Linked DNA regions of Caenorhabditis elegans. The protein of the gene in region 1 interacts with the protein of each later gene in a pairwise test. Each region holds a gene or a part of one and is shown in the gene's direction. Other genes may lie near its edges. The genes, in order: rpl-6 and let-756.

Evidence for each region.
Region 2: the proteins of rpl-6 (region 1) and let-756 interact in binary tests that used the Caenorhabditis elegans proteins (3 or more experiments, as listed by UniProt).

Annotation. Positions count from the first base shown.
Region 1 is NC_003281.10:7,206,407-7,210,362, forward strand, and holds rpl-6 (Large ribosomal subunit protein eL6), read left to right. Parts: upstream 1-2,040; 5' UTR 2,041-2,048; coding exon 2,049-2,177; intron 2,178-2,206; exon of another isoform or gene 2,207-2,390; intron 2,391-2,404; coding exon 2,405-2,588; intron 2,589-2,612; exon of another isoform or gene 2,613-2,743; intron 2,744-2,786; coding exon 2,787-2,974; intron 2,975-2,993; exon of another isoform or gene 2,994-3,124; intron 3,125-3,196; coding exon 3,197-3,349; 3' UTR 3,350-3,383; downstream 3,384-3,956. Other genes in the region: Zinc metalloproteinase dpy-31, read left to right, coding at 1-407, 458-688, 768-893, 945-1,023; prps-1 (ribose-phosphate diphosphokinase), read left to right, coding at 3,702-3,795. UniProt on the Caenorhabditis elegans protein: Component of the large ribosomal subunit.
Region 2 is NC_003281.10:6,405,034-6,410,662, forward strand, and holds let-756 (Protein let-756), read left to right. Parts: upstream 1-2,095; 5' UTR 2,096-2,103; coding exon 2,104-2,193; intron 2,194-2,461; coding exon 2,462-2,533; intron 2,534-2,582; coding exon 2,583-2,629; intron 2,630-2,835; coding exon 2,836-3,232; intron 3,233-3,535; coding exon 3,536-3,601; intron 3,602-3,645; coding exon 3,646-3,752; intron 3,753-3,803; coding exon 3,804-3,932; intron 3,933-4,189; coding exon 4,190-4,559; 3' UTR 4,560-5,000; downstream 5,001-5,629. Other genes in the region: C05D11.5 (Putative hydroxypyruvate isomerase), read right to left, coding at 5,068-5,246, 5,338-5,407, 5,493-5,629. UniProt on the Caenorhabditis elegans protein: Required for larval development. Probably by binding receptor egl-15, negatively regulates membrane protrusion from body wall muscles during larval development.

The DNA of each region.
Region 1 (3,956 bases):
TCTTTTAACGACATCCGACTAATGAATAAAATCTACTGCTCCGCAGTCTGCCCATCAAAACTTCCATGTCAACGTGGAGGATACACGGATCCACGTCGTTGTGATCGTTGTCGATGTCCTGATGGATTCACCGGGCAATACTGCGAACAAGTGATGCCTGGATACGGAGCCACTTGTGGTGGAAAAATCAGTTTAACTAGATCTACAACTAGAATATCATCACCTGGATATCCAAGAGAATTCAAAGAAGGACAAGAATGCTCATGGCTTCTCGTTGCTCCACCAGGTCATATTGTAGAATTTCAGTTTATTGGAGAATTTGAGATGTACTGCAAAATTAGACATTCTTTGTGCATGGACTACGTAGAAGTTAGAAACTCTACTGATTTTGCAAATACTGGAATGAGGTATATTTTGTAATTGCATAGTAATTACCTAACATTATGATAATTTCCAGATATTGTTGCTATGGAACTCCTCCAACTAGAATCCGTTCTGCAACTACTGATATGGTTGTACTTTTCCGAAGCTTCTACCGTGGTGGTAAAGGCTTTGAAGCAAGAGCCCGTGCAGTACCAGAGGCGGGTAACTGGAATTCCTGGAGCCCCTGGACGGCATGTTCCGCAACTTGTGGAGCATGCGGAAGTCGCATGAGAACCCGAACATGTCCACCTGGAAATGCATGCTCGTACGTTTCCCAAACTAATCAATTGGACCTTTATATAACCATAGCTAATGAAAATATAAAATAACTGTAAATTTTTCAGTGGGGAGCCAGTAGAAACACAAATTTGCAATACTCAAGCTTGTACGGGTATGTGCGCTCAGAAACGGGAGGAAGAGGGTCAATGTGGAGGTTTCCTTTCTTTGTTACGAGGCGTCCGTTGTAGACAGTAAGTTCTTCAATCAACCAAAACTTTGAATTTTAAATTTCATTTTTTCAGAGAGAAGACGGTGATGGCTCCATGCGAGAACGCGTGCTGTCCAGGTTTCACTCTTCAGCGTGGCAGATGTGTCCGGTGATCACCAATTTGTATCCATTATTTCAATTCCATATTTTATCCTGTAACCTACAGAACTCTTACGAAGCTACGGGCCAATTCCTAATCAAACCAAATTGTTATAATCCTTATTTTCACTGTTTCATTTTTCTTCTTCTAAATTAAATACCACCTCTTTTTATGTTGTTTCGAGTTTGTGTGTATGATTGAACGAGTTTGACCATGTTTTTGATATAATAAATATTTTTGATGCTTTGTTTGGACAGACAGCGGTGGTATTGGCGAATAGATCATGAGACTTAGATGAAACTCGTTTTAGAAACCTTTTCAAGAACTTCGAAAATATTTCCGCTGGGTGATCTGATCGAATTTAAGATGGGGAAAGATTTTTTACTGAATAAATTATCTGGTGAGGAATTACAATTCCGATCTGTTTTCATTTGATCATTTTTCAGGTACCTGATCAGGTGCAAAAAACATTTTACATTAATAATTTTCGTTTTGAAAAACTAATTTTTAAAATTTATGACAGATAATTAACAATTTTTTGATTTAATTATAATTATTATTATTGCCTAAATAACTTTCTGAAATATATAAAAATAAACATTTTTCATGAAAAAGTTGCATTTTGTGTTGAAGAACAGGGAGAAATAACACACGTAAAACGAGTGTCACCGTAGTCAGACGCGGGTCTCGCCGCGACGAGGCATTGAATACTCAGGCAACAAGCCCTATTCGCTGATTTTTTCGTGCTTTTTAATTCTTTTTTCGATTTTTACATGTTTTTAAGAAAAAATAACGTTATTTCCAGTTTAAAAATGTAAAAACATGATTCCCATTAAAATTCTGGTTCATTATTCAATTTAATTCTCTGTTCTTTTTGCCAGAAATCGTTTTTTACATGTTTTTTAAATTTTAGGATTCATATTGCTTGATCTCTTTTTTAATCAAAAAATAATTTTTAATCATCCAATTCATAATATGTCTGTCGTTTTTGTTAAATAGTTGGTCAGAGTTGAAATTAATTATTTTGCAGGGTACAAAATGGTTGGAAAGAGAAACCTTCCGGTCATCAGCAGAAACTTCGACCTCTCCCCAGGAGTGCTCCGCTTCTCTGCTTCCCGACTTCGCCTGAAGAAAGGAGAGAAGAAGCCGAAGTTCACCAAGGACACTGTACGTTTTTTTCTCAATAAAATCTCTTAAACGAGGTCCAGAGTCACCTTTTCAGCAAAATGCAGTTAGGGTGCTAGGATTTCTCGAAAATGAAATTGGTCGTATTATGCAAGTAGGGCTTGCTTTTGCGCTCCCCGACTTCACCTCATTCCCAAACATTTCCTACAAATTAAAAAACTTTCAAGATAAATTGTTTTCAAAATTTATACTAATCAAATTAGTTTTAGAGCGCCAAGCTTCCAAAACTTCAAAGAAACGGAACGAAATTCGCTCTCGGACATTCCAAGACTGTCACTCTCCGCAAGACTCTCACTCCAGGAACTGTCCTCATCGTTCTCGCTGGACGTCATAAGGGAAAGCGTGTTGTCTTCTTGAAGCAGCTCCCACAATCCGGACTTCTCCTTGTCACTGGTTAGTTGAACGCGTATTTCAAAGATACAGCATCGAAAATGGACGGACTTTCCCGATGGATCGTTTCGTATAATTTTGGTGCAAAATAGTAGAGAGACGCAGTGTTACTCTTCCTTACGTTACCTGTATCTGGAGAGTGTCAAGCGTTTCCCACATTTATTTTTAAAAGCTGTAAATTCAAATAAATTAAATGTTTAGGACCACACAAGATCAACGGATTCCCACTTCGCAGAATCGGACAAGCTTTCGTGATCGCTACCTCACTTAAGGTCAACGTCTCCGGAGTCAAGATCCCAGAGCACATCAACGACGAGTACTTCAAGAGAAAGTCCACCGCACAAAAGACCGGAAAGAACATCTTTGCTTCCGGAAAGACCGAGTACACCGTAGGTTATTTATCATCGCTTTTTGCATTGAAAAGGGACGGGCTATCTTTATGGATTGTTTCGTATAATTTTGATGCGAGATAATAGAGAGGCGCACTGTTACTCTTCATCACTTTTTCTGTGAACGGAGAGTGTCAAGCGCTTCCCACAATTTCTGGAATAACCCATATGTAGATAAATTTTTAAAGTGATCTTTTCGATTTTCATATTTATTTTTTGCAGGTCTCCGAGCAGAGAAAGAAGGACATCAAGACCGTTGATGCCCCAATCCTCGCTGCCATCAAGAAGCACCCAGAGCACAAGTTCCTCTTCGGATACCTTGGAACGAGATTCTCACTCGGAAAGAACCAGTATCCACACAAGATGCAGTTCTAAATGTATTTTGTTATTGAATAAATTGTTGACATTTGTTCGTTATTCGTCATCAATTTGTTCCTCTGCCGACATCGTCAGTCAGATTCTGAATAAACTTGGAGCGTGTTAGCAGGTTTACTTGGTTGTTCAGGTGAAAGATTGTCAGGCTACTTGCATCGTTGAGATTATCAACTACGGTAATCATACAAATTTTGTATTCGCGGTTTTTCAGAAAATTCAATTTGAAGAAAGAAATCGGCTAACTCGTTCCAGTGTTTATCGATTTAAATATTTTCAATGAAGGGTACTCTCTTTCACATTAGAGCAAACCTTTCCAGAGAATAACCTCCAAGTATTACCTATTAAAATCTCGATGTTTGGAGGCATTCGAGATCGTCTATTTCGCTTCCAGAAGCACAATCGAAGTGCCCGCAACGAGTTTTTAGGAACACATCCTACATTACCAGGTTAATAATGAACGAATGTACATAGTTTCTTTTCAGATATGTTATTTTTCAAGCTTAATTTCTGAAGTTTTGCTACATTTTCATATTCTGACTGAGATTTAGAAAATTACAAAAAAGAGGAGCAAAGTTTTCTAGTGTTTGCATTTCCCACGAGACAAAAG
Region 2 (5,629 bases), 800 kb from region 1:
ACGTAATTCAAAATGACCCCAATGTTTGTCCTCTCTTCGTGTTCATTTCATCCTCCCTCACACCATCACATTCAGTTAGCTCGTTATCGGGAATGTCAGAATGTGTCCGATGAATCCGTGTCAATTCTCAATCATCATCTACCAACTTGATCCCCTCAAAAAAATTTTGCAAGAGAGAGCAATTGTGTTGTTGAGTGAAACACCCTCTCATTCGGTAACCCAATCCCTGAGAGCAGTTTCTTCGTGTTTCACTTGAAGATCAGTCGTTTTGTGATAATGATGATGATGATAAAACATAGAGGACGGGAGCTCTTTTGAATAAGAAGAAGAAGCCAACTGTCTCGTTGATAATCTGTCGTCTCTTCATTCACCATTATCATCTTCTCAGACGGACTAAGACGCGCGGGATTCGGACTACGAGAGTGAGAGAGAAAGAGTCTTTGTATCCTCATTGATTATCAATTATTATCTCACACGTTTCATCCTCGATTTCTTTCTTTTTCCTACATCAACTATTACTCATATTTTTCTTGATCTTTCTTCTGTCATATGATTTTTCGGGTACTATAGGATTTTAGTTTTCAAGTTTTCACACTCAGACATTTAAATATATTTCTAGATTCTCATAAATGGGTCTTGCCACGACTGTTCCGTATACCTATTCATGAAATACCGTATTCGGTTTATGCTTTTTTTCAATTAAGCATTTTTTAACATGTTTTCATTTTTCTAACAGTAAGACAATATAAATTTACTTCATTCCAGTATTCCAAAAAAACACTTATTTTTTTCCAAACTTACTTTTGTCAAACTAATCATCTACTTTTCACATATCCATCTCCACATACGTGAAAATGTGAATAATTCTTAACTTACCATGGAATTCGTAATTTCATGTTTGCTATAAATTTGAACCATATTATTATGTGTTATTTCTGCTCATTTTTTATCGAACGTCATTCTTAGTTCCTCAGAATAGTATCGCTTTCTACTATTTTTCCAAATGCATCATACTTTATTAGCTCAAATTTCATTCATTTTCGGAAGAGTATTGTTTGCGGGGGATGTTTTTTATTTACAAATATGACACTATTCTGGGAATCTCTACAAATTGGCATTTTTCCAAAATGGTATTTTTCTGTTATAGCCTAGAGATCCTACACATTTTGATGCTCTTTTCATTTATTTTGATCTATTTTTCCTCCTTTTTTGAAGTTTTTTTTTGTGTTTTTATTTTGAACAAATGTTATGAACAACTGTGTAAATATGATCTCAAAACTTTGTCGTCACTTGTGAAAATTTGTGATGATTCAATCGGTTCAAATCACTTTGCCAAAACTACATATGTTTTCTCGGAAAAAAAAACCGTTGTTGAAATTTTCCACAGATACACAAAAACTCCTAAATGCAGAGCCTACACCTGCCTCTTACCTACTCTAAAATCTGTTGAGTGAACCATAAGACATTTAAAGTTGAGCAACAACTTTTTTGGGAAAAATAAACATTTTGGAAATTTGCAAGCAAAATATGTGGCTTTTCACAAAAACTAGATTACAAAAAATACTTTCATATTTCTCAAAATTCTTAATCACTTTCTTATAAAAAATTTGTAATGTTATAAATTTTTGAACTTGTTGTATGATTATCGGATTTTAAATTAGTAGTATACTACTTTTTTCCAAATATAAAGATAGAATATTAATAATCTTCTTTCTTTTTAAAGTTTTTATTCAAAGATACTTCTAATGCCCCCGAACAAACTCTAAACTCTATTTTGCATCTTATTGAACTTGGTCATTGTGATCTGTTTCTATTTATCTGTTTTCTCAATAGACTCTCTTTCATTGTTGCATTCCTTCATTCCAATCTTACCGTTCTATTTGTTTTTTTTTCATCACAATTTTCCATTTTGCAAGAAAGCCTGAGCCTTCTCCCAACTGAGCCTGAGTGCAAACTCGTGCCAGAAAAGGAGTGGAGGCGGAGGTGAAGATTGTTTGCTCCCGAATCTCTGTACTTGCCCTTTTTCTCATTTATTGACTCTTACTTCCTCGTTCTTCAATATTTCCAAATCATTACAATTTCTTCAAATGTTCAGATGAATATATGGCCGTTCCTGCCGCCTCATCGATAGTTTCATACGGAGGAGCAGCCACTTCTAACTTTTTGACAACACCAGTTACACCTTTTCTTGCGGTAAGTTTACTTCTTTTAACCATAAATGTTTAATTTTTTAATTTTTTTTTGAATTAAGAACGTTTGGAAGTTCAAGCTATATGTACTCAAAATGTGAAAAAACCAAAAATTGAAATATTCATACAGTAACTTAAGAATCTGACACCTCTATGTTTTTTGGAAAAAATTATAGCACACTAGAAAATCTAGGATAATGTTTTTTTCTCCCACAAATTGATTACTTTTTCAAAGTTAAGATATGAACTGAAACTTAGAAATAAATTTTCAGGGATTCTATAATTCAAATTTTGTAACCGATCGTATAAATTCATGTGCTCCGTATCGAGTGGACCGGATCAGAGTGAGTTTGAAATTAGAGATACAGTTGTAAACTTGAAAATGGTTTCCAGAAACAACTACAAGATGAAGAAGAAAATGGGTATCCACCTGCTGATGAGTGAGTTTTTAAGCTTTTCAAACTTTTTGTAACAAGGGATCTCGGATTTTTTACTCAATTCTTGAAATTTGTTTTCTTTCACAGGGCAACGACAATTTATCAAAAACAACAAAAAACATTTTTTTAATCGAAGTGATCATGATCAAAAATTAAAACTTGCCAATGATTTCAAAGGCATTGCGTTTTTGACTAATTTCTACTTCCAGCCGTCGCCGCGGAGCCCTGTTTTGTCGTTCGGGAACCTGGTTGGAGATGCTTCCTATCGAAAATCCTGACGATGGATCGACACGTGTCAAAGTTCATGGAACAAAAGAGGAGAGTTCCAAATTCAGTATAGTGGAGTTTGTGTCAGTGGCAATGAGTCTTGTATCGATTCGAGGAGTTGAAACAAAGAATTTCATTTGTATGGATCCATCGGGGAAATTATATGCAACACCATCATCTAATTATTCAACAGAATGCGTTTTTCTCGAAGAAATGATGGAAAATTATTACAATTTATATGCGTCTTGTGCTTATGGTGACAGGTTTAATCCCTGGTATATTGAATTACGACGGAGTGGAAAACCAAGGAGAGGTCCTAATTCAAAAAAACGTCGGAAAGTAAGTGAAATATATACTCATTCTGCTTTGACAGCTCGTATCGGAGATATTATTACATTTTAGAAAAATAATTTTTAAAACCCGATTAAAGTATATTTTCGAGCATATGTTCGCAAGAAAATGTGGTTTTTACCAAAAATTAGAAGCTCGAGGTCTGGAACGAGCGAATATTTCCTGATATGTACATTAACTTTTCTCTCGTTTCAATAAGTTCCTACCGTACTCGCGGCTACTGTAGCTAGATACATAAAGAAATCCGTGTGCACTTTTTTTTGATTGAAATACATTATCCGTATATTTCAGGCGAGCCATTTTCTAGTTGTTCATCACGATCTTGACCGGTTACGAAGTCCCGTTCCAAATGGAAATGTGAGTTTTTTCGAGACATACAGTTTCAACTTTTTGATTTTCAGGACGTAACCGATCTGGTAGTTGCTTCACTCTTTCACCAACCTCCCAGTCATCCATTATTCCGACAGCAGACCGTTACAAAACCACCAAATCCACATCGTATTTCAAAGTAAGCATTTATATCAAAAGTATCAGATTAGAGCTAATGAAATTTTTGTAGTTTACGAGCAAAAGTGGAAATGACGAACCAAGCTGAGAAGCAAAGATTATTAGAAGAAAAGAAAAGACGAAGAGAAAAGAAGAAACGAAGGAGAGAAGATCGATTAAGAAAAGAGGAACAAATTAGAGAGTTAGTTATTATTCTGAGAAAAAGAAAGCGCAGAGAACTGAGAATTATTATGAAAGTATTGAAAAATAGCAGAACATTTTTTTGGTTTTTAAGATTTGAAGCCAGACTGAAATGGCTTTTTTTGGGTATCGTTCCGTTTCAGTTTTTGAGCGGCAAAAATAAATTCAATGCCAGGTAGCACAAAACTATTTGAAACATTTATGATGATTCCACGTGTGACTTTCCTAGATCTATACCAATTATCAAACGTATTTCAGAGCCCGTCGCCAAGAGCTCAAAAGTCTTCGTGAAGAAGAACTCCGACGTCGTTATCAACAACAACAGCAGCAACAAGCATCTACTCAAACTCGGTACAATCGTCCTCAAAATCCAGCGAATCCTTATCCAACGTATCGACCTCTTCCAACAAGATCAACAGTACAATCTCCACGACCTGCATACAATCCATATTGGCAGTCTCCAGTGACACAGGCTCCTCATCACAATTCCCATCACCATCATCATCACCATCCACGTGTCAGCTCTTCATCAGACCCTCAACAACGTCATCAATCACAACAACACTATCTAGCTCAGACAGTGTCAAATCCAAACCGTCAGAATGTTAACTATCAACGATACCCGTGAACGATCTCTCTTCTTATGATACCCCGCACAGCATCTATCATCATGATCTTCTCATTTTCTTTCCATTTCTTCCTGCCTTCTTTTGCTTAATTAATTTTTTATCAGGGCTGATTTTGAGAAGAAGCGCAGTACATTGTCGTGAAGTTCGTAAGGCACGGTGCTTTAGAAATGAAACCCTTTCTTGTGAATATTGAAACACACAACGAATTTTCTAATTTTCTATTTCTACCTTCATAATATTTCTGTATTAGACTCTTAAAATCACACCATGCTCTAAATACGACAATTTGCGTACACTACTGTTTTTCTTCCCAAGCTCGCCCCTTTTAAGTATGTTTTCCAAGTCTCTCTAAAACACCCCCAACTCGCCACGTGTCTCATTCCATACTCACGGGTTTTGTATTTTGAACATACTGTAACTTACTATTATGAATAATATATATTTGAAAAATATGTATTGTTATTTTAAAAAAATTATCAATGGAGCGAATTTACAAAGACAGGTAATTCAAAAACTTAGAGACATGTTCTCAATCCAATTGAATGAAGGCTTTGCATCCAAATATTCAGCACCAATAACCCATGATGGATTGATCGAACGGATTTCATCGAAAATAAAATGATAATCGATTTCTCCGCGTGTATCACATGCACCTCTATTTGGAACTTGAGCCACTTGAATATAGCCTGAAAAACTCGAAAAAAATCGACGAATGAAAAAGTAATTTCAGAAAAATAGGGCGTAAGCTTATTTTCATCATCATCCTTTTCAACTAACCAATATAATCTTTGAGCTTTCTCATAATTGCTCCAATTTGTCCGTTGATTTGTTGAGCGTGGAATGTGTCCTGAAAAATTACAGTTACTTTTCGAATTCTTATTTTCAAAAAAAATTGTGCATAAAATTCGATGTTTTATGTTCTATTGACTTACATATTGAATTTTCAAATTATTCGATTGATCCATTTGGATCACATCCATTGCATCTTCATAATTATTTAAGTGATATCCAGGAATAGTGTACTTATTGATTGGTTCAATGAGGCATATCAACTTGTGCTCCTTGAACT